7 linked regions of the Callithrix jacchus genome follow. The protein of the gene in region 1 purifies or fractionates together with the protein of each later gene. This does not show direct contact. Links are inferred from orthologs where the notes say so. Each region holds a gene or a part of one and is shown in the gene's direction. Other genes may lie near its edges.

Region 1 (4,558 bases):
GGAATGTGTGAATCTACATTTTCAACTGCAAACCTTATGAAACATAAGAAACCAGATCAACGATTTTTTGAAGAAAATGTATTCACATGCCCGATGACAGACGTGCAGCTGAGTGTACAACACAAGGAATCTCAACGTCTTTTCACTGGGTAAAAGAACGCAACACGCTGTGTGTTAGCGGCTCAGAGCTGTGGCTCACGCCTGTAATTCTTGCACTTTTGGGAGCCTGAGGCGGGCGGATCACTTGAGGTCAGGGGTTCGAGACCAGTCCGACCAACATGGAGAAACTCCGTCTCTACGAAAAAACAAAAATTACCCAGGCATGGTGGTGTGCGCCTGTAATCCCAACTACTCCGGGGTGGCTGAGGAAGGAGAGTCTCTTGAACCTGGGAGGTGGAGGTTGCAGTGAGCCAAGATGGAACCACTGCACTCCAGCCTGGGCCACACAGCGAGACTCGGTTTTTTTTTAAGTGGCTTCCAAAAAATGTATAATTAGGTGCGCGGCAGGCATTACTTTTCCACTGGGCAGCGCTGATTTCCCGTGGGACAGTCTCCCAGGCGACGGCCCAGGTGGGATGCGGCGGAGAGAAGTTTCTGGATGTATTATGTGGTCATGAGTCATGCCAGGGAATTTCCACGGCCCGTTCAATGGGAAGGGAGACGCTGCCTCGAAAGCCGAGTAGCAGAGCACCGACTCGAACTGGAACTCCCATTTTCAGTTCCGTCCGCTTGAAACCTCCCAAGAGCCCACCAGGGGGCGAGAAAGGGATTCCAACCCCTCGGGGGCAAGAACGGGATCCAAACTCGGCCAGACTCCCGAGGTCCGAGCGCGGCGCGTGACCGCCACTCCGAACGTTCACAACGTTCACAACGGACACCCGGGCTGCTGCACCTCGAGGTCAGGAGCCAGCCACTCAGAAAAGCTCCAGCAGACGCTCACCTGTTGAACAGACGCTGAGGCCGCAAACGCTCCTCCTCTCTCTTCACACACCCCGGCACCAGGGTAACTCCCACTTCCGCTTCTCTCCAACTAATCCCCAGCTGAGCCTCCTTAGGCTCCCGCTTTCATTACCAATCCAGCCAATCAACTCTCAAAAAACCCTCTTTATCTCCGCCCCACTCCCTCCTGCCAATCACTGGGGGTGCGAGCACCGCCCTTCCCGCCTTCTTTAGCGAGCACCGCGCGCCACCGCTCGGCGGTTGGCGGCGCTGCGCGCTGCGGGATACATATCCCGGAATAGTGGGGCGAGGGGCGGGCCACGCCGGTGCGGGAACCCTCAGGATTGGCCAGCAGGAGGCCGGCGCTCTGACTCTGTCCACTCCTGCCGTTGACCTCCTAGTCGGAGACGCTGGGGATTGGTTCCCAGAGGACACGCTAAGAAGCCTGGAGGTGGTTCCACCCTCCTCACGCTCCGCGGAGAGGGAGCTCCGCTGATTGGTCCAAGGAGTCTGGGCGCGCGCCGACTGGCGCTCCAGGATTGGCTGAGAGGGTGCGCGCGCCGCCAGGGAGCGTTGGCGGTGATTGGCCAGAGGGCGGAGGCCGGCTATTTGAAGGCGGCGCGCGTACGAGATGCGCACTTCAGTCCGCGGAGGGAAGAGTTTGGAGTGGGTTTTGTCAACCCTACCCCGCTGACCTCACCACCGGACCCAGACGCGGCCTCGGCCACAGCCCCTGCCCCTGCCCCTGCTGCAGCGCAGTGAGGCGAGGCGAGGCGATGGCCAAGGTGTCGGTGTTGAACGTGGCGGTACTGGAGAACCCGAGCCCTTTCCACAGCCCCTTCCGGTTCGAGATCAGCTTCGAGTGCAGTGAAGCCCTGGCGGACGGTGAGGCTGGGATTGTGCGGGTTAATCCCCACCCTCGGGCCGACCCCGGCCTCCCCGCGGAAAACTGCTCTCATGGCCAACTTGATCTCCCCCATGAAACTCCTCGTCCTCCCTCTCAGCTAACCCCGATCTCCCCCAGCCCGCCAGTCAACCCGGTGTCCGGGTGGAGACCCCCCCCCCCCCAGTCACCAGCCAACCTGGACCTCCCCGGGACTTCCTTCCCCACTGCCCGCATTGACCTCCCGGGTGGAGGCTTCCCGCTAGCCAACTCGGACATCCCAGTGATCTTCGCCACTGCCCGCCCCAACCTCCCCATAGAGATTAACGCCCCCCACCCAAGCCCCATTTCCAGCGTGGGGAGCCTCATCCATCTTTTTTCTTTGGAGCTCTTCCGAGGTACCCATTTTCATGCAGAGACCTTCTCGGCCTCTATTTCTTAACCCACGGAGATCTTCAGCCACTGTGGCTTCCCTGTGGCAAGACCCCTGTTTCAGCCACCCACCCATTTTTGCCCACTTAGACTCTTTCCTATAGTGAGATACTCCCATCTCCCTTTTTCCCTCTGGAGACCCCACTCTCCAGCCCCTTCCCATTTTTCCCGGGGAAAATCCCAGCCATTTTCTATTTCCCCTATGGAGACCTCTCCCCCAACTCCCTTCTCCCCCCACCGTGAAGACCCTCCCCTCCAGTAACCTTTTTTCCCTATGAAAACCCGTCAATCCCTTGTCAAGACCGCTCTCTTCCCCCATCTTCCCATCTGTCTCCCGGCTCTCCCCTCCCCAACCTGCCGATATTTCAATAACCCTGCCCCCCACCAATTGCTGCTGGTTTTCTACCCCAATGCACATACCCTGGAACCTGATTTCCCTCCTTCGTTGGGGCCCAACCTCCCTATCCCTGAGCTCCCCCGGGGAAGGATGCTACCCTTTGCAGTAACTTGGTCTCCCCAGCTCCCTTTCCCCACCCTCTTCTGTGGGCTTGGACATACACGCTGAGATCCGAGGGGTGGCATAGCCAGGCAGGCATTAGTAGTTCCCCAGGTTTGCCCGCCCATTTCCAGCTGACTGACTGCAGCAATTCTTCGCTTTTTCTTCTTTTTTTGAAAGAGAGTCTTGCTCTGTTGCCCAGGCTGGAGTGCAGTGGCACTTCACTGCAACTTCAGCCTCCTGAGTAGCTGGGATTACAGGCGCCTGCCACTACGCCCGGCTAATTTTAGTATTTTTAGTAGAGGCGGGGTTTCACCACGTTAGCCAGGCTGGTTGCGAACTATGGACTATAAGTGATCCACCCACCTTGTCCTCCCAAAATGCTGGGATTATAGGCACAGGCCACCACAGCTGGCCAATTTTAGTATTTTTAGTAGGGTTTCACCATGTTAGGCAGGCTGGTCTCGAACTCCTAACCTTGTGATCCACCTGCCTCAGGCTCCCAAAGTGCTGGGATTACACGGGCATGAGGCACTGCGCCTAGTTTTCTTCTTGTTTCTTCTTCTTCTTCCTTTCTTCTTTTATATAGCTGGATAATCAGTGCCAAGCTTCCATTGCTTTTGATGGTCTGACCTAGTCTGGGGGTGGGTGGACTGGGCTGAGCTCTGACAGGCTCCAGCTTCAAACAGTCAGCTGGAGCTTAGGGGTCACAGCCTCTTACGCATCTTTTCCAAGGTGCTTCCGCAGATGTACTTATTAATCTGTGTGACTTAAAGGTGCACATGGCTCTCATCTCACAGATGAGAGGACAGGAGGCACAAAGCGCAAAAGACCTTTCACGTCAAGGCTTGTACAATCCAGAATCTAAGGTCACCCAGGGAGCCTTGGCACCACTAAAAGGCGAGTCCTGCTTTCAGGAAGAAGTACTTCATTAGGCCATTTTTCTACTTGGTGGTTAAAAGAGAAAAGGCACAGCCGAGGAGGTGGCCGTGCAGTGGCCTGTGAAGCCGGGGGTGCTAACTAGTGCCTCTTGGGGTCAGGTGGGTGGTTTCCCCTCCAAGCTGGTGGCGTGTATTAGCTCGGGGCTGATACAGTGAGATTCAGATGTGCTCTGGGTAGGCCAGTAGGTCCACCTCTTCCTGAGGAGTCTACTTGTGGCTAACTATAGAATAAGCCAAGTTAAATCCTTTCTGGAACAGGGCAGCATGTAAATAAATAAAGTGTAGAATGTCACTGTGGAATAAGATTTAATTTAAAAGCCAGGAGGAGATGGAAGGAGGTAATAGGCTGAGGGATTCCCAGCTTCCAGGCGGCAGGAGATCGGGTTTCAATCAGCCTGTTTGTGTTCCTTGCATTTACAAATGGTGATGCGGTCATTATCTGATACTTCTACTCCTAGGAAGCTCCTGTCCTGTGACTTTACTAACTTACTTAGAGAATTAGTTGGAAAGGCTAAAGTCAACCTGCTGGTATTTTTTTTTTTTTGAGACAGAGTGTTGCTCTGTTGCCCGGGCTGGTGTGCAGTGGCACGATCTTGGCTCATTGCAACCTCTGCCTCCTGGGTTCAAGCAATTCTGCCTCAGCCTCCTGTGTAGTTGGGACTACAGGCACGCACCTCCATGGCTGGCTAATTTAGTAGAGATGGGATTTCACCACGTTAGTCAGGCTAGTCTCGAACTCCTGAACACAAGACTTGGCCTCCAAAAGTGCTGGGATTACAGGCATGAGCCACCTCACCTGGCCCTGCTGGTCATTTTTTAATAGAAATGGAATGACTTGGCGGGGCACAGTGGCTCACGCCTATAATC
Region 2 (4,386 bases), on another chromosome or scaffold:
TTACTTTGTTGAATACCTCTTTGTGCCAAGCAGAGAATGAAGTGGAAAGTAAAATGGACAACATCCCTGCCCTTAACCTATCAGGGAAGATACTCTTGAAGTGAGAGCAGTTAATCATAGGCAAAAAATTCCCATGAAGCTAGGAGTTCTGGGGCAGAGAGTGGAGTGAACTCACTTTTCACAATGACCCAGCAACATGGGAGAGGGTGGGGGCTGGATTTTGGCCCAGCCACCGTGCTGACAGTGCACAGCCCTTTAATGCTGTGTATCATCTCTTTTCTTCACAGTGCCATCTCTGTGGAGCTGTACTACATCTTTGCCACAGTATGGGGTCGGGAGCAGTACACTTTGTATGGCATCCTCTTCTTTGTCTTCGCTATCCTGCTGAGTGTGGGGGCTTGCATCTCCATTGCACTCACCTACTTCCAGTTATCTGGGGAGGATTACCGCTGGTGGTGGCGATCTGTGCTAAGTGTTGGCTCCACCGGCCTCTTCATCTTCCTCTACTCAGTTTTCTATTATGCCCGGCGCTCCAACATGTCTGGGGCAGTACAGACAGTAGAGTTCTTTGGCTACTCCTTACTCACTGGTTATGTCTTCTTCCTCATGCTGGGCACCATCTCCTTTTTTTCTTCCCTCAAGTTCATCCGTTATATCTATGTTAACCTCAAAATGGACTGAGTTCTGAATGGCAGAACTACTGCTGTTCTCTCCCTTTCTTCACGCCCCGTTGAGCTGTCCTACCAGCTTCTCTTTTGATTGAGTGACTGAACTGTGTGATGGCATTGTTGCCTTCCCCTTTGCCCTTTGGGTCTTCCTTCCCCAGAGAGGGCCTGGAAATTATAAATCTCTATTATATTAAGGAATATATATTTGAACTTTTTAAGTTGCCTTTAGTTTTGGTCCTGATTTTTCTTTTTACAATTATCAAAATAAAATTTATTAAGAAAAAGGATCATGTAGTTGGAGGTTTTGGTCTGGATATAGAAACGCGAGCCCTGCTGTTAACGGCACGGCCCTTTAGAAAGCGGAGCTGGCCACGGAATAACCGAATTTCGAGTTCTCCAACCCAGCTTGGGAACTCTCAGCGTGGGGAACCTATATTGCCAGAGCACGGTTTCCGCGACTCAGCCGGTGCTCAGCCTAACGGAAGTGGAGGAGCCGGACGTCTTTGTGGGAAGTGAATTGAATCACCTTGGCGACCCGCGGGGCGTGCGGCAACGCCCTTTCCGCCGGAAGTGGCTGTCAGCCTCCACGTGCTGTCCCTCCCCCTCCCCCTCCCCCTTTCAGCCCAATAGCGGCGGCTCAGCTGCTGCCATGGAGCCCGCCAGTCTGGAGCAGCTCTTACGGGAACTGCTGCTGCCGGACACCGAGCGCATCCTTCGGGTATGGAGCGGGCGTAACCGACCAGGGCGAGCGGGAGGTTGCGGGAAAGGCCCGACTCTCACTCCTAGCTTTCCCCTAGGCCACGGAACAGCTCCACATCGCTCTGCGGGCCCCCGCCGCCTTGCCGGCTCTCTGCGACCTGCTCACCTCGGCAGCCGACCCCCAGGTGAGACCCCTGCACTGGCCAAGCCCCAGTAAACGCCCCGTGCGGTCCCCTCAGCACCTTCCTTACCGGACCCCCACATGCCTACTTCCTCGTCCCAGATCCGCCAGTTTGCGGCCGTGCTGACCCGCAGACGATTGAACACCCGCTGGCGACGGCTGGCGGCGGAGCAACGGGAGAGGTGGGCTGGGCCTGGGGCGGGGCGGGGCCAGGTGGAAGCTTTTCTTGGGCAGGCCGGGTACCAAACACCTGCCATCTGTGTTCTAGCCTCAAGTCCCTGATCTTGACGGCCCTGCAGAGAGAAACAGAGTGAGTATCTACTCCCTTCTCTCGGGATCTTGACGACCTTCTTTGGGTTTCTGCCTTCCCCTTCAGCTGCAGGCTGGGACTTGGGGGGCAAGGACTTCCGTTCTAGACCAAAGTGAAGATTTTAAGGCTGTTTCGAAGACTGAAGTTCTTGAGAAAGGGTGATGATGATCTGGCAAACCAAAGTCAGAAGAATGAGACTGAAATTCAGGCTAAGTAAGACTGAGCTTACCAGATTACATGCCCGCAGTGCAGCTGGGCTCCCTCTGAGCTTCTATCTCATGTGTCCCAACTTGGCAAAGACCCTGTGCCCACCACTCCTGAAAGTTTCCCTCCTGGCTGCCCCAATGAGTCTGGCCACTCAAGAGGAAGGCATTGGAGGGTGACTGGAGATCTCTCCTGTTTGCAGGCACTGTGTGATCCTCAGCTTGGCCCAGCTTTCAGGCACCATTTTTCGAAAGGAAGGCCTGGAGGCCTGGCCTCAGCTTTTGCAGCTTCTTCAGCACAGTACCCACAGCCCCCACAGCCCAGAGAGAGAGGTACCATTACATAGTTGGCAGGAGGAGGGAGGGCCCAAGAGGCCGGATAGACCATGTAAGCTCGCCCTCCCATCCTCTACTCTTGGACAGATGGGGCTTTTGCTGCTGAGTGTGGTGGTGACCTCCTGGCCCGAGGCCTTCCAACCCCACCATAGGGAGCTTCTTCAGCTTCTGAATGAGACTCTTGGTGAGGTGGGCTCTCCTGGGCTGCTCTTCTACTCCCTGCGTACTCTGACCACCATGGCCCCCTACCTCAGCACTGAAGATGTGGTGAGATGTGGGCCCACTCATATCACTGACTGCCTTTCCTCAGGCCTTCATGTCCTCACCCTTAAAAGTTACAAAGCTGTGCCAGACATGGTGGCTCATGCCTGTAATCTCAGCACTTTCAGAGGCAAAGGCACGCAGATCACAAGGTCAAGAGATCGAGACCATCCTGGACAACATGGTGAAACCCTGTCTCTACTAAAAGTACAATAAATTAGCCAGGTGTGGTGGTGTGTGCCTATAGTCCCAGCTGCTCGGTAGGCTGAGGCAGGAGAATCACTTGAACCAGGGAGGCAGAGGTTATGTGAGCTGAGATCGCACCTCTGCACTCTAGCTTGGCAACAGAACGAGACTCTGTTTCAAAACACACAAACACACACCCTACAAAACTGCTTTGGATTCTTTACCTGCCTTTGGCCCCTACACACACACACACACACACACACACCCAAAGCTGCTTTGGATTCTTTACCTGCCTTTGGCCCTTCCTGACAATTGAGAGGGGATGCTGTAGGTGGGCCTGGCTTGTTCCTGGGCTCCTCCTCACAATTCAGGCTGTGAGGAAGCTGCCAGCTGTTGGGTTGTAAGATTAGGCTGCATCATGCTCTCTGTGATGTGTCTTTTAGCCTCTCGCTCAGATGTTGGTGCCTAAGCTGATTGTGGCAGTGCAGACCCTGATCCCCATAGACGAGGTGAGGACAGGTGGGCAGGAGCTCTGTTGGAAGGAGAGTGCAGAAGTGTCAGCTGGGCCCACTGAAGAAGAGCATGGTCACCCTGTGCCTTGTTTTGTCTGTCAGGCAAAGGCCTGTGAGGCCCTTGAGGCTTTGGATGAACTGTTGGAGTCAGAGGTACCCATCATCACTCCCCACCTCTCTAAGGTCCTCACATTCTGCCTGGAGGTGAGCCTGGAATGGACATGGCACCGGCTACATGCCCTGCTGGGACTTTGCTTGCCTGGCTCTGATTCTTATTATTCTCTGGACAGGTGGCTAGAAATGTGGCCCTGGGCAATGCGATACGTGTACGTATCCTTTGCTCCCTCACTTTCTTGGTCAAAGTCAAAAGCAAGGTGAGTTACCATTGACACATCACCAACTGTCCATCTCCACCCTTAATCTCACTTTTGGGGCTTTCTGTCCATCTCAGGGTATCTAAAGTACTATGGGGGTTCAAGCCTTGCCCTGGCCTCACCCCAACTCCTGCCTCGGATATTGGGAATCTTCTGTCAGACCCCTATGGCCTGGAAGACTGTTTTTTTTTGAGATAAGAGTTTTGCTCTTGTTGCCCAGGCTGGAGTGCAATGGTGCAATCTCAGCTCACCACAACCCCTGCCTCCTGGGTTCAAGTGATTCTCCTGCCTCAGCCTCCCAGTAGCTGGGATTACAGGCATGTGCCACCATGCCTAGCTAATTTTGTGTTTTTAGTAGAGATGTGGTTTCTCCATGTTGGTCAGGCTGGTCTTCAACTCCCCGCCTCAGGTGATCTGTCTGCCTTGGCCTGCCAAAGTGCTAGGATTGCAGGCATGAGCCACCATGCCTGGCCAAGACTGGAATTTTTAATGTGAGCCCATCCTGGGAGCAGATTCTTAGGGACACTGTTGCATGTTCTCCATCAAGGCCTTACTAAAGAATCGTCTCCTGCCACCCTTGCTGCACACCCTTTTCCCCATTATGGCTGCTGAGCCCCCACCAGGCCAGTTGGATCCTGAAGACCAGGATTCAGAAG
Region 3 (4,592 bases), on another chromosome or scaffold:
GACATCATTGCCTTTTTCTCAATATTAGGGAAATTTATTTTTATAATTAAGTATGATGTTAATAGCAGGTTTGTCATAGATATCACATATCAGCTGGGAGTTTTCTTCCATTCTTAGTTGGCAGAGAGTTTTTATCATGAACAGATGTTGAATTTCTCAAGTGTTCTTTCAGCATCTATTGAAATGATTTCATTTTACTTTTAATAGACTGTTGATATAATGAACTGATTACATGTAGAAATGTGAATAACCTTATATTCCTAACATGAATCTAATTTTCTTGTCATATGTCATCCTTTTTGTTTGTTTTCAGACAGTCTCACTCTGGAGTGCAGTGACATGATCTTGACTCACTGCAATCTCTGTATGCTGGGTTCAAGCGATTCTCCTGCCTCAACCTCCCAAGTACCTGGGATTACAGGTGCACATGCCACACCCAGCTAATTTTTGTATTTTTAGTAGAGACGGGGGGTTTCACCATGTTGGCGAGGCTGATCTCAAACTCCTGACCTCAAGTGATCTGCCCACTTGGCCTCCCAAAGTGCTGAGATTACAGGCGTGAGTCACTGCGCCCAGCTGTCATATGTCATCCTTTTTATGTACTGCTGGATTTTGCTTCCTAACAGTTCTGCCTTTATATTTGCATGTGATATCAGATTGTGGTTGTCCTTTCTTTTCTTTGCCAGGTTTTGATACTACTGTGGTGCTTGCCTCATAAAACAAGCATCCAATCTCCTTCTATTTTCTCTACGAGTTAGTATAGAATTTGTATTATTCCTTCCTTAAATGTTTGGGAGAATTTAACAGTAATGTCATTAGGCCTGGAGGGTTTTGTTTGTTTGTTTTGTTGTGTTTGAGACAGGGTCTTGCTTGAGTGCCCAGGCTGGAGTACAGTGGCACATTCACAGTTCACTGCAGCCTTGACCTCTCCAGCTCAAGTGATCCTCCCACCTCAGCCTAAGTAGCTGCGACTACAGACGAGCACTACCACGCCTGGCTAATTTTTTTAGACACCAGGGAGAGGGTTTCACCATGTTCCCATGCTGGTCTGGAACTCCTAGTCTCAAGGGATCCACTTGCCTCAGCCTCCCAAAGTGCTGGGATTAAAGGCATGAACCACTGTGCCTGCTCTGGCCTGGAGTTTTCTTGTAAGAAGTGTGTGTGTAGAGAGAGAGTATTCTGCTACTAAGAAGTGGTGTGTGTGTGGAGAGGGGGTGAGGGAGAGAGAGGGAGAAAGAGAGTATTCTGCTACTGTTGGGTTGCTCACCTATAAACGTCAATTAGGTCAAGCTGGTTGGTAGTGCTTTCCAAATTTCCACACTAATTTTCTGTTTACTTGTTCCAACGGTTACAGAGAAAATTCATTGCTACACTTGCCTGCCTCACAGTCCATGGACAATAAAAGGTATCCTGCATTCTAACAAGAGTTGCTGGCCCTAGAGCGAGAAGAGGCGACGGAGCGACTGTGGGTGTGAACGAGTCACTCACTTCGTACTCACTGGAGTTAAATCTCTTCCCTTCGGTCGGGCCAGAAGAGAAACCCACAGGCCTTAAACCCGCCTCTCCACCGCCTCAGCAGCAGTTCCTTTTTTTTTTTTTTTTTTTTTTTTTTTTTAGCCAGGCCCCTCCTTCCAGCCGAACGCACCAATTAAAGGTCCAAAAAAAAAGTTTTTCTGTACTTTGTCCCAGGTTGACAGACTCTCGCGAGAATCGTGGAGCGCCGACTGTTTCCGCGCAGATAACGCGAAGGGATTGGTTGCCGGGTACCGGCTGCGCCGCGGTTCCGCCTTTCCGGTACGCGGGCGCGCGGTGGCGGGAATTTCGCCTGTTTGCGGTTTAGACTCCACAGATTCCTGGTTGTGGTTGGGGTATTAGGAGGCAGAATTCGGGGGCTGGAAGTTTGAGTAGGTACGCCAGGCACCGCGGGCAACCGACGTCCGGGGTCCCGGCTGCAGCTGGGTGCGCAGGATGCGGTCTCCCCGCCTTCTCCACCCGAGTGCTGCCGGGCGCGAGCATGGTGGGTCTCGCCCGCGGCTCGGAGGGTCGGGGTTGGCGCTAGGGATTGCCTTCCTGGTGTCCACCCCCAGCTGGCGAGGGAGCTTTCTCTATCCTGCTGCTGGGAAACGGGCGGAGGGCGGGTTAGTGACGTTGCAGAGGGCGCAGTTCGAGGCGAGCCCGGGACGCCTGTGTCCTGCAGACATTTCTTTCCTTTTCACCTTGTTCTGGGATGCAGAGTCGGACCTGGTGGGCGGATTTCGAAGTCCCTGCCACAGCCAGAGTTGATTGTGCATTTTATCTTAAGTTCTGACACCCTTGATGGGCGGAGCGGCGGGGGAGAAGAACTGGGGATTTGGTCTGGGTTTTTCGTTTGTTTTTCCTTCGTGCTGGGGGACGTCTTGGGAACTTTGTGAGGTAACCCCCAGTCTGTCGGCCCCCACCTCCAGGAATCTCTTCACACCCTCTCTTTGGAGCCCTTAAGGATACGACGACCTTCAAACATTTCAGAACATGAAGTAAACAATGGAGAACTGTTTTGCTTCCCCGACGTTCCTGACTGACAGCTTAGAGCTGGAGCTGGGGACAGAGTGGTGCAAACCTCCTTGCTTTTCTTGTGCTGTTGACAACAGAGGAGGAGGAAAACATTTTTCTGGAGAATCCCACCTCTACAGTGGAGCCCTTAAGCGGTAGGTAAAACTCAGACTTTTTTTCCCTCATCTGATTATTCACCAGTTTTTTAGGAATGTTAGTTGTCATTTCAGCCCACTAAACTTTGGTGGTCGCCGAACAATGTTTTATAAATCAGCTTAGTATATCATAATGGTACAAATGAATATCAGTTCTGCTGTTGGCTTCTTGGTAAGGGCGTATCAAAAGTATTTTGTGTATTAGGGAAAACTTCCTTGGTAACTGATGTTCCCTTACTGTAGGGAGCTGGGCACTAAGTTTTCTTTTACTTAAAGTGAATTCTTAACTATGAGCCTTTTGAAATGGTATTTCCTTCCAAAGAGTGTGATGATACTCTGAAGCTTTCCAGTAATTTTTACAAAAGACAAACATTTTTTGTTGACCTGTTCCTTCTAATGCTATCTATACATACAGAAGTCTTGTAGACTTATTTTACATCGGGCAGGTACATACATATTGCAGTAAAACTGCTATTCTTGAAATATTTTGGTAATACCTTCTGAGGCAGTTTCAGTCAGGAAATTAATTTTTGTTGACTTTTTAATTGTACCTTGTTAGAGACCTTAAAGTACCACCTTCATTAGTTGGATACAATTCTCCAGACTTGGTTCAGAATAACTGTTAGCAGTTTTAAAAATTAAATGTCTCCTCTAGGATGAAATTCTGCAACTGAAGACAACTGGTGAAGACAGGCAGAAATATGTTTCTTAGAATCCTTCTTGGTGTTTTTTGTTTTGTTGTGTTTTTGAGACAGTCTCCCTGTTTCCCAGGCTGGAGTGCAATGATGCGATCTCGGCTCACTGCAGCCTCCACCTCCCGGGTTCAAGCGATTCTCCTACCTCAGCTTCCTTAGTGCTGGGATTACAGGCGTGAGCCACCGCGCGCGGCCAGTTTTTCCTCTTAAGTTACATTGCACTTCAGTTATACTTTTAATCAGTATGGAAGATTGACATTTTAATACAGTCTAGCTATTGTAATCTTGAATGTGTAAAGTACGGAGGCGTTTTCTGACTTCTTATATGTGTCATGTATAATATGGATTTGAATAATGTAAAGAGAAGAGCTGTTGTATTATGGTGCTTAATATACTTTTTATGAGATTAAAACATAATTTTAATTTCAGATTAATTTTGAATCTTGATCCTTTACCAACTAATTTTGAAGAAGATACATCGGAAATATTTGGCATTCAGTGGGTTACTGAAACAGCATTAGTGAATTCATCCAAAGAGCTCTTTCATTTATTCAGGTATTTTTTTCTTTTTTAACTTTCTGCGAGTGTAGGTGTTGTTCACTTTTGTAAACTACATTGTTGGGTGGCTTCTAATACTGATACTACAAAAGACCAGGAGAATTGTGCTGGTTGCTCACTTGATTATCTTACCAGTAACAATAATCAGGCAGCAACACTTGATGAGTAATGGTTTTAATGAGTTGCATTTCATTTTCAGAATTTTTATTCTTTGCATTTGACATCATGTATTGACAAATATTTGAGGCTTTCAACTATAATTTTGGAAGAAAATTAAAATACTTTGGTTATTCAATAGCCATAGTCTTTCAGTGCTCTTTAGAGTATGATCTTTCTAAATAAATCTTTTAGACTGTGTAATAGAAATGCTAATTTCTATTTGGACAACATAAAAAAATTTTTTAAATGAAAAATTTTACACATACACAAAAGAATAATATAATGAATGTCCATATGCCCTCTTTCAGTTATAGTAAACAACTTTTTATTACATTTCCTTCATCTGTCTTATCTTCTTTTCTTTTGACTTAAGTATTTTTAAGCAAATTCTAGGCATCATATCATCTCACCCATAAATACTTCAGTATGAATTTAAAAATATGGGCCTTTTAGAAACCATGAGCTCGGCCAGGTGCAGTGGCTCATGCCTGTAATC
Region 4 (4,551 bases), on another chromosome or scaffold:
ATCCAGGTTACATGACCTGGCTCATGTCACCTAGCTAATAATGGAAGAGTCCATGTCTCTTTGCCATAGGAATTAGCATTTTTCACATCCAGCTCTCTAGCCCCAAAGATTTCAACCTCTTCAAGCCTTGACAGATTGGAGTAAGAAACCTTCCCAGGAATCTTTCCCAATATGCTGGAACCTGAAGGGAAATAACCCCTACTCTGATCAGTGTAGACTGGGCCATGGTGAAAAGGAATGGATGTGCTCCAGGTATGATGAAGTGCAGATTTTTAGCCTGACAGTTATTTTTCAATCAGCTAGTTACAGGAAATGAGGCACACTGCTTTCCATAATTGGTTTGTCTTGCAACTTTCTGAACAAGTCACACCTTCCCTGATCTTTTTTTTTTTTTTGAGTCGGAGTCTCGCTCTATTGCCCAGGCTGGAGTTCAAGTGATTCTCTTGCCTCAGCCTTCTGAGTTCAAGTGATTCTCTTGCCTCAGCCTTCTGAGTAGCTAGGATTATAGGCGCCTGCCACCATGCCCGACTAATTTTTGGGATTTTTAGTAGAGACAGGGCTTCATCATGTTGGTCCGGCTGGAAACTTGGGTTACTGTTTTTTTGAGACGGAGTCTTGCTCTGTCGCTCAGGCTGGAGCGCGCAATGGTGTGCTCTCGGCTCACGGCAACCTCCGCCTCCCTGGTTCAAGCGATTCTCCTGCCTCAGCCTCCCTAGTAACTGGGATTACAGGCGCGTGGCACCCGCCGGCTAATTTTTGCATATTTAGTAGAGAAGGGGTTTTACCATGTTGGTCAGGCTGGTCTTGAACTCCTGACCTGCTCGCCTGGGCTTCCCAAAATGCTGAGATTACAGGCTTGAGCCACCACGCCCAGCCTGGTTTTTGTTTTTGAGATGTAGTCTCATTCTGTCGCCCAGGCTGGAGTGCAGTGGCACGATCTCTGCTCACTGCAACCTTCATCCCGTGGGTTCAAGCGATTCTCCTGCCTCAGCCCCTCAAGTAGCTGGGATATCAGGCACCCGCCACCACACGTGGCTAATTTTTGTATTTTTTAGTACAGATGGGGTTTCACCACCTTGGCCAGGCTGGTCTTGAACTTCTGACTTAGTGATCCATTCACTTCGGCCTCCCAAAGTGCTGGGATTACAGGCGTGAGCCACCACGCCCTGCCCCTTGGTTTATTTTTCTAAGAAATAGACCAACACCGATCTCACCAGTAGCATTATTAAGACTGAATAAGATGGCGAACTTCAAAGCGTCTAATCACAGTACCCCCACATGTAGTCACTGAGCAAGTCAGCCAGGAGTGGACGAAAAGCACTGCGAGCATTAAACCAGCCAGATTTGGAATCTGGGCAGGGTTTACGAGGATGGTATCAGCGGATTGGGCCAGCCAAAGGGGGCGGGTCCAAAGGGAGGAGCCAGACGTTTCCCGCTGCGGCCAGAGCTTTGAATCAAGAGCGATAGCTTCAGCTGTAGCCAATCCTAGAACAAACTGTTCTTGCGTCAGTTGTTGCCGAGGCCCAGATGTCATCCAGATCAGTTGTAGCCGCTGCTGTTGTATTCGTCCTCGCTCTTGAGTGTCCATCCATTACGACTGAGAGGACGGACAGAAAGTCACCTTACTCAGTATCCAGGCCGGAAGGAGACTTTGGCTACTTGCCCTACACATGCAGAGCAGCACTGGCTTTCCTTTCTGTGGATACCGCAGGGGATTCCTGTCAGGAGTTACACTGTCAAGATTCCAGTTCTTCTTACGCGTCTTGCTGGAGAAGGAGGAAGTTGCTGTTTATCGGAGAAGGCGGGCTAGGGAGGGCAACAATCCCGCGGAGCCATCTGGAGAGGGCAGGAGGTGTCCTCGGATAGTGGGAGGCCGGGTTGGGGGCGGGGGGTATTGGTCCTGGCCCTTTAAACCCGAAGAGGAAGATCCGGAAGTGGATGGGCGGGGCCAAGGGCCATCATATATAAGAGGGCCCAGCCGCGCGGGGTCTCCAATCTGCCATTTTCTGTCCCTGAGTAAGTCCTTGGTATTCCAAATTGCTTGTTTTCTCACAGGCTCTATTCCGGTCGCTGGTTCGCCACCTCAGGGGAACGATGGCTACAGAGTCCACAGCCGCTGCCGCGGAGCTGGTTTCTGCCGACAAGTAAGCGGGACTGTGGAAAGCTTTAGGCACTGGCCAGTCCGCGGGGAGGGCTAATGGACGGGGGCTCCGAGGAAGGGATAGACCTGTGGGCGGGAGTACTTGCCTTCCTAGGAGCAACTGTCGCTGTTCGGGGAGGCCTGGTCACTGGAGCAGTTCTCTTGCTGAGAGCCTAGCGCTCCAGTGGTAACGGCGGTCGGCTGGCGCCCCTTGCCCCGCTTTTCGCGGCCGCCATCTTGCCGGGGGCAGCGGCGGCTGTATTCATCGCCTGCCCCTCTCTTTCCTCCCGCGTCCCGGGGCGGTTGACCGGGAGGCGGGGCCGTGGCTCGTGGGTTGGCCCTCACGCCCCTTCTGTCCCCAGCTTGTGCCTCGGGTAGAGTTCCTGGATAACCTGGGAATAGAACCAACGGAGATTTGGCGCCAAAAGAAAAAAAAAAAAAACCCTGCACGAGGAAGGAGGCTGGACCTCAGGGCGTCGGGAGTGGGCGGGGCCTTGTTGTGGGCGGGGTTTGCGCGCGTGTGTTTGCTTCCCTCGCTGGCTCCGGAGTAGGGGGCGGGGCCTCGAGGAGGCGGGAAAACTCCATTGTTTGGGGCCGCAGCCCGCTCCAGCAGGAGCCTTGGACTGGCTTGGTGGGGGTAGCTAGGCTAGTTCCCCCCGCGCCTAGCTCACTTCTTATCCTGGAGGATCCTTATCGCTCCCTCCGACTCAGTGAGCTCCTGCCTGTGGTAGGGAGGGTTGTAGTTCTTTATACTTTGGAGGTGTTGCCTGTTTTGGGGGAACGTTACCCGGAGGCAAAGCGTCTTCAGGAAGCGCTGTCTGGAGCTCTCACCAGCAGTGTTTGGTTGCTAGGTGAATCCGCAGTAGGATGCACGAAGTGGAGAAGAACTGGAGGGAAATAAGATAGGATTGCTTTGAAAGTGGCACAGTGCTACTCAGGCTCGTGTATTTTTTGAACAGTGGAGGGAAACACTACGTGAGTTCAAGGAAACAGGTGCTATTTTCCATAGAGTAGGTCTGATTTCCCATTCTTGCCTTATCTTTTTGAGGATCTGGTTCTATTTTTTTCTCTAATATGCACTTTAGAGGTTAGCTTCCTTCCCTGTAAAAGGAATGGTTGTTGTGAAGTTTTTAAAAATTAATATTCTGTAGGCTTACACTGACATGATTATGTCTTAGTGTATGTATAGTTACTAGAGATTTACTTATATCTCTGCTTACCCCTTTTTGTTTTCTCTGCCGACTTGCAGAGCAGTGGTTCTCAAGTCACCCTGAGAATCACCTGGCAACTCATGGGAAATACAATTTTAATTTCAAACTTACATAACCTACCTCTTTCCCTATTGGTTCGATAGGAGCAGTATAGATTGGGGTTGGGAGTCGTGCTATAACTATTACTAAAAAAAGAGCTCCTTTTCATAATATTTCATAGACAACTGTAGCATTCAGTATTTCACTGATAGGTGTCTGTTTTTGGAGACAGGGTCTGGCTCTTCAGGCTACAGTGCAGTGGTGGGATCATAGCTCACTGCAACCTCGGACTCCAGTGCTCAAGCGATCCTCCTGAGTAGCTGGAACTACAGTTGTGTGCCACCACGCCTGGCTAATTTTTTGTAGATACAGGGTCTTGGTGTTGCCCAGGCTGGTCTCGGACTCTTGGGCTCAAGCGATCCTCCTGCCTTGGCCTCCCAAAGTGTTGGGGCTACAGGTGTGAGCCACTCTACAGGGCCAGGTGTTTTATCTCTTGCAGGTCCTCTGTGTCTAGCCAGAGTTAGGTCATTAGTGAACTTAGTCTTAGCTTCCTGGCAGGTTATACATAAAGAAAGTTTATGTATATGTGGCTAGAAGAAAACAAACCATTTAAGTAGTTCCTGACACCATAAATTGAAAGCTAAAACTGAGCAATTATATGTGCTGTGTGTGTGGTGGGGGGCAGGGTCTCTTTTACCCAGACTGAAGTGCAGTGATGCCACCTCGGCCCATTGCAACCTCTACCTCCTGGGCTCAAGTGATTCTCCTGCCTCAACCTCCCGAGTAGGTGGGACTACTACTCAAGCTACTTGGGAGGCTGAGGCACAAGGCCCAGCTAGCTGATTTTTGTATTTATTTTATAGAGATGAGTTTCACCATGTTGCCTAAGCTGGTTTCCAACTTCTAGGCTCAAAGGATCTACCTGCTTGGGCCTCTCAAAGTGCTGAGATTACCCATGTAAGCTACCAAACCCAGCCAGTATTTTCATTTTCATTCCCTCATTACCCCATCTAATTAGTGTGAGAGAACAATGAAAGCAGTGTACCTCAGTTAAGTAAGTTAAGGGGACATTTAGAAGTAAAGTTTATAAGGTCCTCATGTTTAAGGGTAGGATAAAGAAAATGGAGTGAATTTAGACTTTAGGTAAGAACATGCATCATA
Region 5 (3,050 bases), on another chromosome or scaffold:
GAAAAGACCTTCATACTTTGAAATCCTAATAGCTTTAAGAAATGTATTCCTTATTATCTCCATTTTATTAGGTTTTTCTCCTTATGGATAAAGGAAGGCATACTTTAATACAAGTGATAACAACGTGTTATTTCAGGCTTACACTAGAACATTGTGGACCTTACGTCAGTAGATGTACTTTCGGACAGGTTGATGTTTAATCTGTACATTATATTGTTGTATATGTGGCAGAAATTTAATCAAGGACTGACAGTACAATTTGCTAGAATAATTTAAATGTGTTTTTTTTTTGTAGAAGAAGACGAGTCAGCATTAAAGAGGAGCGAGCTCATTAACTGGTACTTGAAGGAAATCGAATCAGAAATAGACTCTGAAGAAGAACTCATAAATAAAAAAAGAATCATAGAGAAAGTCATTCATCGACTCACACACTATGTAAGTGCAGAAATGCGCTTGCTGTGGTATCGGGGGGGTGGGAGTTCATGCCCTGTATCTGTAGGTTCACTAGTGAAATTTTTTTTAACCTTTGTTTGTTTTGAATCATTGGAGTGTAGTCAGAAGTATGAGTTGTAAAACAAGGGAGAATTAACAGCAGGTAAATGATTTATTTCCTCTGCTGAAACCAGCAGAATTGCAGTTAAATCTTGGAAAGTGGGATTAAGGTCTTACTAGTTGGGTGTTATAAGCTTCTGTTTTCCACCCTCATATTCACCCTTGGTTGTACTGTCACCTACTTTCTATGCTTCATTTTCCTCACATCCTTAGTTCCTGGTTCCCACCTTGCCCAGTCCAATAGTCACTCTTCCTTACCCTTTGAATTTTTTGTGTCTTACTTGCTTGGCAAAAACCCCAAACTTAGTTAAATAAAGCCTCTTTTTTTTTTCTCTGTAGTACCCTTATCTAAGCAGCTAAAAGTATCTGGAGAAAAGCATACAATTGTGAGCCCAGTCTTATTTAAATTGATGACCAGGAATCTCAAGTAGACAGTTCCTATACTCTTATCAGCCTCATGACAGCACTGCCCAGTGCAATTCCTTTTCCTTGGTCAGTTCTTTGCCCTAGTCTCTCACAGGACCATCACATGCCTTCTCTCCACTCCTGTCAGCTGGCTATTCTCAGTACTCAGCCTGTCCACAGCTTTGTTACAGTTTATCACTCCTAGAAATGCCGTCTTCTTCACTTGGTTCTGAGTCACTATATCCTCCTGGGTCTTTCTCACTGGTTATTCCCTCTTAGTCTCTTTTTCCTGAGTCTTTCTTTTTCTTTTTTTTGTTTTGTGACAGAGTTTTGCTCTTATCGCGCAGGCTGGAGTGCAGTGGCACAGTCTTGGCTCACAGCAATCTCCACCTCCTGGGTTCTAGCAATTCTCCTGTCTCAGCTTCCCAAGTAGCTGGAATTACAGGCGCCCACCACCATGCCTGGCTAATTTTTGTATTTTTTTAGTAGAGACAGGGTTTTGCCACGTTGGCCAGGCTGGTCTAGAACGCCTGACCTCAGGCGATCCACCCACCTGGGCCTCCCAAAGTGCTGGGATTACAAGCTTGAGCCACCATGTCCAGCCTGAATCTTTCTTTTCTTACTTTACTCTCAGATTATTTACATTCATTACCTAAGTGATCTCATTTGGTTTTATGAATTTACCCATCTACTGATGACTTCCACATTTATGTCAGCAGCTCTCACCACTCCTCTAAACTCCAGATGGATAGAGCTGGTTGCCCACTGATGAGCTAACAGGCATCTTGTGCTTAATGTGTTCAAAAACAGAGTTGTTCTTCCCTGTTTGCAACTGAGTTGTTCTTACTCAATTGCGGTAGGTAGGCCAAACGCCTTGGAGTTGTCTTTGACTTCTTGGTTCTACTCTCCCCTCACAACAACTCTTCAGCAGCAAATCCTGTGACCCCGGCCTTCAGTGTGTATGTATTTTCTGTTCTCTTTTTACCGTCCACCCAAGCTACTATGCCTGGACTGTTGCATTGTCCTTTTTTTTGTATTGGCTTCCTGCTCAGCAGATAGGTCTTTTTAAAATATAAATCACATTATTTTACTACCCTCCCTTCCAGTGCGTCTCTCACATTAGAATGAAATCTAGCCCCCTTGACATGGTCTGCAGAACTTACCCAGTAAACCCCATCTGCCTCATTCACTTCATTTCACAGCGGTCATCCCTTGCCCATCCCACCCCAGTGACACTGGCCTTGTTCCCTAGACACACCAAACATGAGGGCCATTGCACTCACGCTTTGTCTGTTTCCTTAGATCTCCTCCTCCTCTCCGATTTCTGCTCAAATGTTACCTCTTCAAAGAAGCCTTTCTTGCCTAGCCTGTCAAAACAGCATCCTTCTGCTCTTGCTGTCACCCTGCCTTGTATTTCTTTATAATGTTTAACATGGCCCAGCAGTATATTCTTTATTTAAGTGTGTAGTTTGTCTCTCTTACAGCATATAAGCTCTATGAGGGTAGAGACTTGGTCCAGGAGCTACGGTGGTGCCTGGCACATAGCAGGATCAAATATATGTTGAATGACTGAATTTTTCTATTACGTGGCAGAGATTTAACCTTTGTGCCAATTCAGTTCACAGTACTCACTACATAATATTACAGAGGTCACATATTAAGGTTGTGTCTTCTGAAAAACAGTTTTCCTATAAAGTAGATCAGTGATTATTGGGGGGTAGGAAGGTGTGAGAACAGCTACTAGATCACAATCCAGAGTTGCTTTTCTAGTGGTAGGACATGTCTATGTGCTCCTTGGAATCCATGTAAGGTAAAACGACCCAGGCAAGGAATCTACTTCAGGACTTTGGAACACACTGTGAATTTAAGTGATCTAAACTTTGATTATGTTTTCATTTATTTGTTTATTTATTTTTTTGAGATGGAGTCTTGCTCTATCGCCTGGGCTAGAGTGCAGTGATATGATCTTGGTTCCCTAATCCCTGCAACTTCTGCCTCCTGGGTTCAAGCTATTCTCCTCTCTCAGCCTCCAGAGTAGCTGGGATTACAGGTGCCGGCCACCACACCCAGCTAATTTTTGTATTTTTAGTAGA
Region 6 (3,895 bases), on another chromosome or scaffold:
CCATTTCCCAACTCTGCCACATCCTTCTTCCTTCTGTATTCCTTTACATATTCTATTCTCTTTACCTGAAATACTCTCATCTCCTATTTGCCTGGCCAAATAGTACTCACTTTTTCATTCTCAACTCAAGTTCCCTTCCAGGAAGGTCAGAAGATAATCATCTTCCCAACCTACCCATAGCCTAACTCCCTGCCCAAATAAATATACAAGTGAAACAACACCAACAGGAAAACTGTGGTTCTCCTTTGGCTTCATTGCTACTGAAACTTCCTGATTCTTCTGATATTTCGTTGATACCACTTGTCTTTTTTTTCCTTTTCTTTATTTTTATTTTTATTATTTTTTTTAGACAGACAGGGTCTCTCATTCTGTCACCTGAGGTGGAATACAGTGGTGTAATCACAGCTCACTGCAGCCTCAACCTCCTGGGTTCAAATGATTCTCCCACCTCAGCCTCCCAAGTAGTTGGGACTACAGGGGTACGCCCCCATGCCTGGCTAATTTTGGTAGAGACAAGATTTCTACAGACTGTTCTTTTTTTTTTTTTTTTGTCATAACATTAGCACACAATCTGCAGGCTGTTCTAAAACTCCTAGGCTCAAGTGACCTGCCCACCTTGGCAGCCTCCTAAAGTGCTGGAGACTGACAGGCATGAGCCACTGTGCCTCATCCTGTCTGCTTTTTTTTAGGACAGAGTCTTGTATTATTGCCCAGGCTGGAGTACAATGGCTTAATCTCGGCTCACTGCAACTTCCACCTCCCAGGTCCAAGCAATTCTTATGCTTCAGCCTCCCAAGTAGCCCACCACCACGTCTGGCCAATTTTTTTTGTATTTTTAGTAGAGATGGGATTTCACTATGTTGGCCAGGCTGGTCTCGAACTCCTGACCTTGTGATCCACCCGCCTCAGCCTCCCAAAGTGCTGGTATTACAGGCATGAGCCACCACACCCAGCTGCCCTGTCTGCTTTTTAACTGTCACTGTACTACCAGATTTCTGACTGACCTCCTTTTATCACTGTAAATGCTTTCCCCAGGTGACCTTAACCAACCTTATGGTTCTAACTGTTACCTATATATTGACATTGTTTAAATCCTTCCCCTTAGACTAAAATTTTCTTCAGATTTTCTATTTGCTGCTGCCTCCCAAATCTCTCCTAGGCTGTGAAAATTTACATTTTTACATTCTCCTCTAAGTCATTTTTTCTTCTTATATGTTTCTAGTGTCCTTGTCCCCTTAGTTGTCTTATTTGTGCTGTTCCAGTTCATGCCGTCATCATTTTTTATCTGATGTAATAGCTCAGCTTCTTGATTGGTCTCTCTGCCCTTCTTTTTGCTACCATTTCTATGAAGCTGAAAAACTGACTGACTTAAAACTCAAATTTGTGCATGTTGCTTACTCTCCCATTTAAAATCTGTCACAGTGGCTCATGCCAGTAATTCTTACACATTGGGAGGCTGAGGCAGGAGGATTGCTTGAAGCTGGGAGTTGAAGACCAACCTAGGGAACAAAGTGAGACCCTGTCTCTACACACACAAAAAGATTAGCCAAGTATGGTGGTGTATGCTCATGGTCCCAGCTGCTCAGGAGGCTGAGGTGGGAGGATAGCTTGAGCCTAGGAGGTTGAGACTGCGTTGAACTATGCTTGTGCCACATTAAATTATCCATACCATAATCATTTGTATTACCCACTAGACTGCTTGAAGGCAATGACTTTTATTGCCTTTCCTTTGGTATCTAGCACAATTCCTTGCACATGGCAGATATTAAATATATCCTGTGTTCTTTTGGAAAAGTGTCATTATTTTTACTTTGAAAGTGTTCACGTTTTTCTTTTGTTTCATTTATTAGCGACATGCTAGAAGGGTTTATGAAATTCTTCGACTACTGGTAACTGACATGAGTAATGCTGAACAATACAGAAGCTATAGATTGGATATTAAAAGAAGACTAATTAGCCCGTATAAGGTAGGACTTTCAAGAATCTTCAACATTATTCTTTTCACTGTTTAAAACAGAAGAAAAGCTACCAAATGTCAGTATATGGGAGAGTCCAAGTCATTTTGTAAAATTAACTTCTACAAAAGTAGAAATATTCTTCCAGTTATTTATAAAAATAATCACTCATGGCCGGGCGTGGTAGCCCACGCCTATAATCCCAGCACTTTGGGAGGCTGAGGCAGGTGGATCACCTGAGGTCAGGAGTTCAAGACCAGCCTGGCCAACATGGTGAAACCCTGTCTCCACTAAAATAAAAAAATTAGCCGGGTATGATGGCAAGTACCTGTAATCCCAGCTACTCAGGAGGCTGAGGCAGGAGATTTGCTTGAACCCAGGAAGCAGAGGTGGCAGTGAGCTGACAAGAGCAAAACTCCATCTCAGAAAAAAAATTCTCACTCATAATTTTCCAATATAAGTTATACATATGTTTCACTCATTTAGAAACTTTTCCCAGTGGTGGCTCACGCCTGCAATCCTGGCACTTTGGGAGGCCCAGGTGGGTGGATCACTTGAAGTCAGGAGTTTGAGACCAACCTGGCCAACATGGTGAAACCTCGTCTCTACTAAAAATACAAAAATAGCTGGGCATGGTAGGGTGTGCCTGTAATCCCAGCTACTTGGGAAGCTGAGACATGAGAATTGCTCGAACCCAAGACGTGGAGGTTGCAGTGAGCTGAGATTGTGCCACTGCACTCCAGCTTGGATGACAGAGTGAAACTGTGTCTCAATCAATCAAACTTATCCCAAGCATAATCTACCGTGGTTAGCTTTTCTTTGATTTGTATGCATATTTTAAAAATATGAATGCTTAAGCTCTTCCCTAACAAATTTTCTTGTTTTTCCCAAGTTTCTTGTCTTCTCAGTTGTTACACATACTCTTTTTTCTCTCATCCCATATAAAAGCAAAGTTACATATATATTCTCTTTTTCTCTGCTTTCTTCTTCATAAAAATAGCCTTTGTTGCTATTTATTAATAAAATCTCTGTACTTTACCATAGCTGAAATCATGTTAGTACTATTATATTTTTAAACATTCTTCTTGCCCTTTTTTCCCCACTTCTTAGTCATTTTCCATATTTTCCCACCTAAATTAAGTTGGCCTTACCATTTGGACATTGTCAGGATGGATATCATTCATTCCACCTTGTGTGAATGAAAATTTGCTATCTAGGCCGGGTGTGGTGGCTCACGCATGTAATCTCAACATTTTGGGAAGCTGAGTTGGGCCTATCACCTGAGCTCAGGAGTTCAAGACCAGCCTGGCCAACGTGATGAAACCCTGTCTCTACTAAAAATATAAAAATTAGTTGGCTATGGTGGTAGGTGCCTATAATCCCAGCTAATTTGGGAGGCTGAGGCAGGAGAATTGCTTGAACCCAGGAGGCGGAGGTTGCAGTAAGCCAAGATCGCACCACTGCACTTCATTCTACACAACAGCAGACTCCATCTCAAAAAAAAAAAAAAGAAAATATGCTAACTAGTTGCAGCTGAGTAGTGAGCTGATTGGCAGAATACTTAATTTATTAACAAGTCATTACTGAGTATAATTGCTTAATGTTGAAATGTTATTGCTACATTTATATATACTATACCTATAAGGTTATATACAGCACAGTAGCTGGGATAGAAACGACCAAGTTGAACCTTCGTTAAAATCTGACGAAAGTAAATTAAATAACTATATCAAGTACATGTAGTTTTGGCTTTCCTTTGTAAATTTAAAGAAAATTTAAGGTTTCTTTGCCATGCATTCTGCTTTATAGAACCAGTCTTGAATGCCGATGGTTTATTGGCTCACAGTACTTGCTGAATCCCAACTCTTTTTTCTTCAAAGCATCTTTTTACTTTCCGGTGCAATTATATTTCCTAATTTGTCATTGTAATTCTTCTGTTC
Region 7 (3,895 bases), on another chromosome or scaffold:
TTTAGAGATGCTCTGTGTGGTGTGCAGGTGCTTGCTTGCTACTTGCAGTCTGTGTTCCCGTCTCAGTCATAGGTGCTCTTGTCCCTGCAGGGTTCTTTCCAATCTGGACAAAGGGACATTGAAGCTGCTGGCTGAGAATGAGCGGCTGTTGTGCTTCTCACCAGCTCTGCAAGGCCGCCTTCGAGCTGCCTATGAGGGCAGTGTTGCCAAGGTAGTAACTCCAGCTTAGATGCCCACTGGCCTGGACCTGATCCTTGCTTAGCTTACATAAAGTCCTGCAACCCTGCTGACGACACTTAAGTGTAATGTGAGCTAACTTTGGGCGAGAATAAGAGGGAGAAGTTTTCTCAGCATGACCCTGCAGTTCCTAATGTTCCTGCTGTATTTTAGGTCTCTCTGGTGATGCCACCCTCTGCTCAGGCTGTCTCCTTTCAGCCAGAGACTGACAATCGTGCCAACTTCTCCAGTGACCGAGCCTTTCATACTTTTAAAAAACAGAGGTGATAAGAAAAGGGACTTTTGGGGGAGGGAATGAGATGACATTTTTCTGGACTAGGCAGCTGTTTTGGTTTCATAAAAATTATGAGTTTAGCACTAACTAGGTGGTGGGTTAGTCCTCCCAGGTCTTTACTGCCGGCCATCATAGGGGCCACTTGGCTTCCTTCTGTTGTGCACCTGTGGACCTAAACCCTAGCGCTTACCCAGCCATGTCACAGGTGTATGGCTTTAGTCTCAGGGTTCTCAGGCAAGAGTGTGTCAGGGTGAACTGCCCACAGAAGCACATGAAGCCTGTAGTATGCTGCTGCTGGTCTATAGTGCCGTTATGTAGAGAATTCTTGAGAGATTAAAAAATGGGGCTGCTGGCCAGGCCCAGTGGCTTATGCCTGTGATCCCAGTACTTTGGGAGGTCCAAAGTACTTGAACTCTGAGGTTAGGAGTTCAAGACCAGCCTGGCCAACATGGTGAAACCCCATATGTACTAAAAATACAAAAATTACCTGGGTGTGGTGAGGGACACCGAGGCTGAGGCAGGAGAGTCGCTTGGTGGGGAAGGGGCAGAGGTTGCAGTGAGCCGAGATTTCGTCATTGCACTCCAGCCTGAGTGACAGGAGCAAGACTCCATCTCCAAAAACAAAACAAAAAAAATGGGGCTGTGGATAGTCCTGTCCTCAGTTCTTCCAGGGGTGGGAAGACACTGGTGGGAGTGAGTATATCAGCTGATCAGGCATTCTTATGCGTTAGGGATGTGTTTTATGAGGTGCTGCGAGAGTGGGAAGATCACCATGAGGAGGCTGGCTGGGATTTTGAGAAGGGCTTGGGCAGCAGAATCAGGTGGGTGCTCAGACCTTGTCTTTCTTGTGCCTGGCAGTGAGTAGCTCAGTGCCGCTCAGGGAACTGATGGAGGAGGGAAGGCTTTCCCCATCTCCTTCAAGCCCTTAGCTGTTCTGTTCTATTGTCTGAAATATCTTTAGTTACTGATAACTCTGCCTCTACTTGAAAGGGATGTGTCTCTTAAGCTCTTTTCACTCAAAAGTGCCTTATTCTTATTCTGTAGTGGCAAATGCTTGGAAAAAGTCCAAAGCTCTTAACCCAGGCTGCTGGAGTTTTTTTGGCCCAAGCCACTGGTTAGACGCATCTAGCCTCCATTTTCTCCATTCTCTAGTTTGGGCAAGTCTGGTCACTGTAGGTAGATGCCTGGGCTCAGAATGCCTACTTCAGTCCAGTCATCTCCCTTCACATCGGTCATGAAACTCGCCACCTGTCAGTGCGGCTGAAGACAGGAGGGATGGTGTGATATTCTGGTTAAGTGCACCTCTAACTTTGGGGAACTTGGTGCTGAGGGAGTGTCCCTTACCTTCAATGTCCCTGTGTAGGCTGGCTCAAGTTCCTGCTAAAGGGCTGGGAAGCCCAAGGGTTGGCTGCTTCTCTCATCTTTCTTCCTCTCTCTCCCCTCCACACCCTTCATTCCTGCCTTCTGTTCCTCAGAGCCATGATGGGTCAGCTCTCTGCAGCCTGCAGTCACAGCCACTTTGTTCGACTTTTCCAAAAACAACTACTCCAGGTAACAGCCCCAGCAAGAGATTAATCCACATTAAACAGCAGATATCAGAGGCAGCCACGTAATGACTGCACTTTGGGATAGGGCAGACAGCCAGGCATGTCCTGGGCTGGAATTTGAACAAGAGTTCTACTCCTTGGTGGGGTGGCTGAAACTTGCATGGACAAAGAAAAGCCAGGGCACTCTCTGACATGCCCTGGACCCTGTATCTCCCCCAGCCTGCTGCTGCTTTCCCTCTGATTTGTGCTGTGGTAAGGAGCCCAGGCTTAGTAAGTAGTCAAGCTTAGTTTCAGATCCTAGCTAGTGACCCTAGGCGCATGCTTAACCTTGCAGTTTTAGTTTCACCTGTGAAACAATCCTGTAATTCACACCTCAGAAAAGCTATCTAAAGTGCATTCCTTAAATGTTGATTACTTTCTCCTTATTTTGTTCAGTCCTTCCCTCCCACTTACTGATTATTTAATTTCTCTCCTTTCTCTCTCACCCGAGATGTGTCAGAGCCCTGGCGGTGCTGGGGGCACTGTCTTGGGCGAGGCCCCAGATGTCTTGAGTATGCTGGGAGCTGACAAGCTGGGGCGGTTGTGGCGCCTACAGGAACGGCTTGTGACCCCTCAGAGCAGTGGGGGGCCCTGCCCACCCCCGACCTTCCCAGGCTGTCAAGGCTTCTTCAGGGACTTCATTCTTAGTGCCAGCAGGTAGGCTCCCCTGTGTCTTACAAGGAATGGGGCAGAGGCCAGGAAAGGTGTAACTTCCCAAAAGGGTAAACAGTCTCCTTTGCCTGGAATATAACAGAATAGGCTTCTTCCAGCTTGTACTTGCTGGCTTCATTGCACTTCTGTCACCCACATGGGTGATTTTGTTGCTCCTCAGCTTCCCTTTCTGTCCTGCTCCCTTCCCTCTGGAGTGCTCCTTCTTGAATCTGCCTCTTCCTGCACCTCTTCCAGTGCTTATGCCCCACCCACCCCTTCTCAGCTTCCAGTTTAACCAGCATCTCATGGACAGTCTGAGCTTGAAGATCCGGGAGCTCAATGGCCTCACCCTGCCCCAGCATGAGCCCAGTGATGAAGATGGGGAGTCAGATGTAGACTGGCAGGTCTGAAAACAGAACAAGGGAAATAATGGGGTCTGACCCTGGAGGGAAGGGAATATGTTCAAGAAAAAATTGTTCTGGAAGCCTCATGCTTGGACTTTTTACTTCCCTTGATTCCATGCAGGGTGAACGGAGGCAATTTGCTGTGGTGCTTCTTAGCCTGAGGCTTTTGGCCAAATTCCTGGGCTTTGTAGCTTTCCTGCCATACCGGGGGCCTGAACCTCCCCCGACTGGTGAGCTTCAGGACTCCATTCTGGCCCTCAGGAGCCAGGTGAATGGGCGGGGGATTCTGGTGAGGAGGGAGCAGGGAGGACCAGCCAGGCACTGAGGCTCACTGGTTTCCTTGGCTATTCCGGGAACCAGGCAGGTTAGAGAGCATCTCCCAGCCCTTCCCAGGGACCTGCCCTCTAACTGAGCTCTGGCCCTCCCAGGTCCCTCCGGTCCTGGATGTACGGACTCTGCTGCAGCGAGGGCTGCAGGCCCGCCGGGCGGTGCTCACTGTGCCCTGGCTGGTGGAGTTCCTGTCCTTTGCTGACCATGTTGTTCCCTTGCTGGACTATTATCAGGGCATCTTCACTCTCCTGCTGCGCCTGCACCGGTGAGTGGAGCCAGGCTAAGGTTTGACGAAAGGATTCCAGAGTAGGGGGACACTGGTCAAGCCTGTTATTGATAAAGAGGGTTGAGGAGTCTGCATTGCGTGGTGCCCTGGCCATAACTGAGCCGTGGGAGAGGCAGAATTGGCTCCC

What was found.
Region 2: the proteins of ASF1B (region 1) and IPO4 purify together in Homo sapiens (affinity purification with mass spectrometry; 5 studies listed by BioGRID and IntAct, counting the BioPlex papers as one, with this or other methods). This does not show direct contact. The link is inferred for Callithrix jacchus from reciprocal best matches to the Homo sapiens genes ASF1B and IPO4.
Region 3: the proteins of ASF1B (region 1) and MMS22L purify together in Homo sapiens (co-immunoprecipitation; 4 studies listed by BioGRID and IntAct, counting the BioPlex papers as one, with this or other methods). This does not show direct contact. The link is inferred for Callithrix jacchus from reciprocal best matches to the Homo sapiens genes ASF1B and MMS22L.
Region 4: the proteins of ASF1B (region 1) and NASP purify together in Homo sapiens (affinity purification with mass spectrometry; 5 studies listed by BioGRID and IntAct, counting the BioPlex papers as one, with this or other methods). This does not show direct contact. The link is inferred for Callithrix jacchus from reciprocal best matches to the Homo sapiens genes ASF1B and NASP.
Region 5: the proteins of ASF1B (region 1) and MCM6 purify together in Homo sapiens (affinity purification with mass spectrometry; 4 studies listed by BioGRID and IntAct, counting the BioPlex papers as one, with this or other methods). This does not show direct contact. The link is inferred for Callithrix jacchus from reciprocal best matches to the Homo sapiens genes ASF1B and MCM6.
Region 6: the proteins of ASF1B (region 1) and HAT1 purify together in Homo sapiens (affinity purification with mass spectrometry; 6 studies listed by BioGRID and IntAct, counting the BioPlex papers as one, with this or other methods). This does not show direct contact. The link is inferred for Callithrix jacchus from reciprocal best matches to the Homo sapiens genes ASF1B and HAT1.
Region 7: the proteins of ASF1B (region 1) and CDAN1 purify together in Homo sapiens (co-immunoprecipitation; 5 studies listed by BioGRID and IntAct, counting the BioPlex papers as one, with this or other methods). This does not show direct contact. The link is inferred for Callithrix jacchus from reciprocal best matches to the Homo sapiens genes ASF1B and CDAN1.

The regions. Positions count from the first base shown.
Region 1 is NC_133523.1:12,910,651-12,915,208, reverse strand, and holds the start of ASF1B (histone chaperone ASF1B), read left to right. Parts: upstream 1-1,574; 5' UTR 1,575-1,715; coding exon 1,716-1,824; intron 1,825-4,558. UniProt on the Homo sapiens protein: Histone chaperone that facilitates histone deposition and histone exchange and removal during nucleosome assembly and disassembly. Cooperates with chromatin assembly factor 1 (CAF-1) to promote replication-dependent chromatin assembly.
Region 2 is NC_133509.1:58,494,860-58,499,245, reverse strand, and holds the start of IPO4 (importin-4), read left to right. Parts: upstream 1-1,288; 5' UTR 1,289-1,317; coding exon 1,318-1,386; intron 1,387-1,465; coding exon 1,466-1,552; intron 1,553-1,618; exon of another isoform or gene 1,619-1,650; coding exon 1,651-1,730; intron 1,731-1,816; coding exon 1,817-1,858; intron 1,859-2,264; coding exon 2,265-2,394; intron 2,395-2,484; coding exon 2,485-2,664; intron 2,665-3,287; coding exon 3,288-3,353; intron 3,354-3,458; coding exon 3,459-3,560; intron 3,561-3,646; coding exon 3,647-3,730; intron 3,731-4,277; coding exon 4,278-4,386. Other genes in the region: TM9SF1 (transmembrane 9 superfamily member 1), read left to right, coding at 288-681. UniProt on the Homo sapiens protein: Nuclear transport receptor that mediates nuclear import of proteins, such as histones, RPS3A, TNP2 and VDR. Serves as receptor for nuclear localization signals (NLS) in cargo substrates.
Region 3 is NC_133505.1:103,208,843-103,213,434, reverse strand, and holds the start of MMS22L (protein MMS22-like), read left to right. Parts: upstream 1-1,726; 5' UTR 1,727-1,794; exon of another isoform or gene 1,795-2,017; intron 2,018-2,147; exon of another isoform or gene 2,148-2,444; 5' UTR 2,445-2,520; coding exon 2,521-2,684; intron 2,685-3,808; coding exon 3,809-3,934; intron 3,935-4,592. UniProt on the Homo sapiens protein: Component of the MMS22L-TONSL complex, a complex that promotes homologous recombination-mediated repair of double-strand breaks (DSBs) at stalled or collapsed replication forks.
Region 4 is NC_133508.1:82,319,372-82,323,922, forward strand, and holds the start of NASP (nuclear autoantigenic sperm protein), read left to right. Parts: upstream 1-1,525; 5' UTR 1,526-1,670; coding exon 1,671-2,016; exon of another isoform or gene 2,017-2,094; coding exon of another isoform or gene 2,095-2,144; intron 2,145-4,551. UniProt on the Homo sapiens protein: Component of the histone chaperone network. Binds and stabilizes histone H3-H4 not bound to chromatin to maintain a soluble reservoir and modulate degradation by chaperone-mediated autophagy.
Region 5 is NC_133507.1:94,681,389-94,684,438, forward strand, and holds part of MCM6 (DNA replication licensing factor MCM6), read left to right. Parts: intron 1-295; coding exon 296-435; intron 436-3,050. UniProt on the Homo sapiens protein: Acts as a component of the MCM2-7 complex (MCM complex) which is the replicative helicase essential for 'once per cell cycle' DNA replication initiation and elongation in eukaryotic cells.
Region 6 is NC_133507.1:57,537,293-57,541,187, reverse strand, and holds part of HAT1 (histone acetyltransferase type B catalytic subunit), read left to right. Parts: intron 1-1,850; coding exon 1,851-1,967; intron 1,968-3,895. UniProt on the Homo sapiens protein: Histone acetyltransferase that plays a role in different biological processes including cell cycle progression, glucose metabolism, histone production or DNA damage repair. Coordinates histone production and acetylation via H4 promoter binding.
Region 7 is NC_133509.1:30,490,733-30,494,627, reverse strand, and holds part of CDAN1 (codanin-1), read left to right. Parts: intron 1-90; coding exon 91-211; intron 212-390; coding exon 391-500; intron 501-1,242; coding exon 1,243-1,332; intron 1,333-1,986; coding exon 1,987-2,062; intron 2,063-2,548; coding exon 2,549-2,754; intron 2,755-3,031; coding exon 3,032-3,152; intron 3,153-3,273; coding exon 3,274-3,420; intron 3,421-3,580; coding exon 3,581-3,747; intron 3,748-3,895. UniProt on the Homo sapiens protein: May act as a negative regulator of ASF1 in chromatin assembly.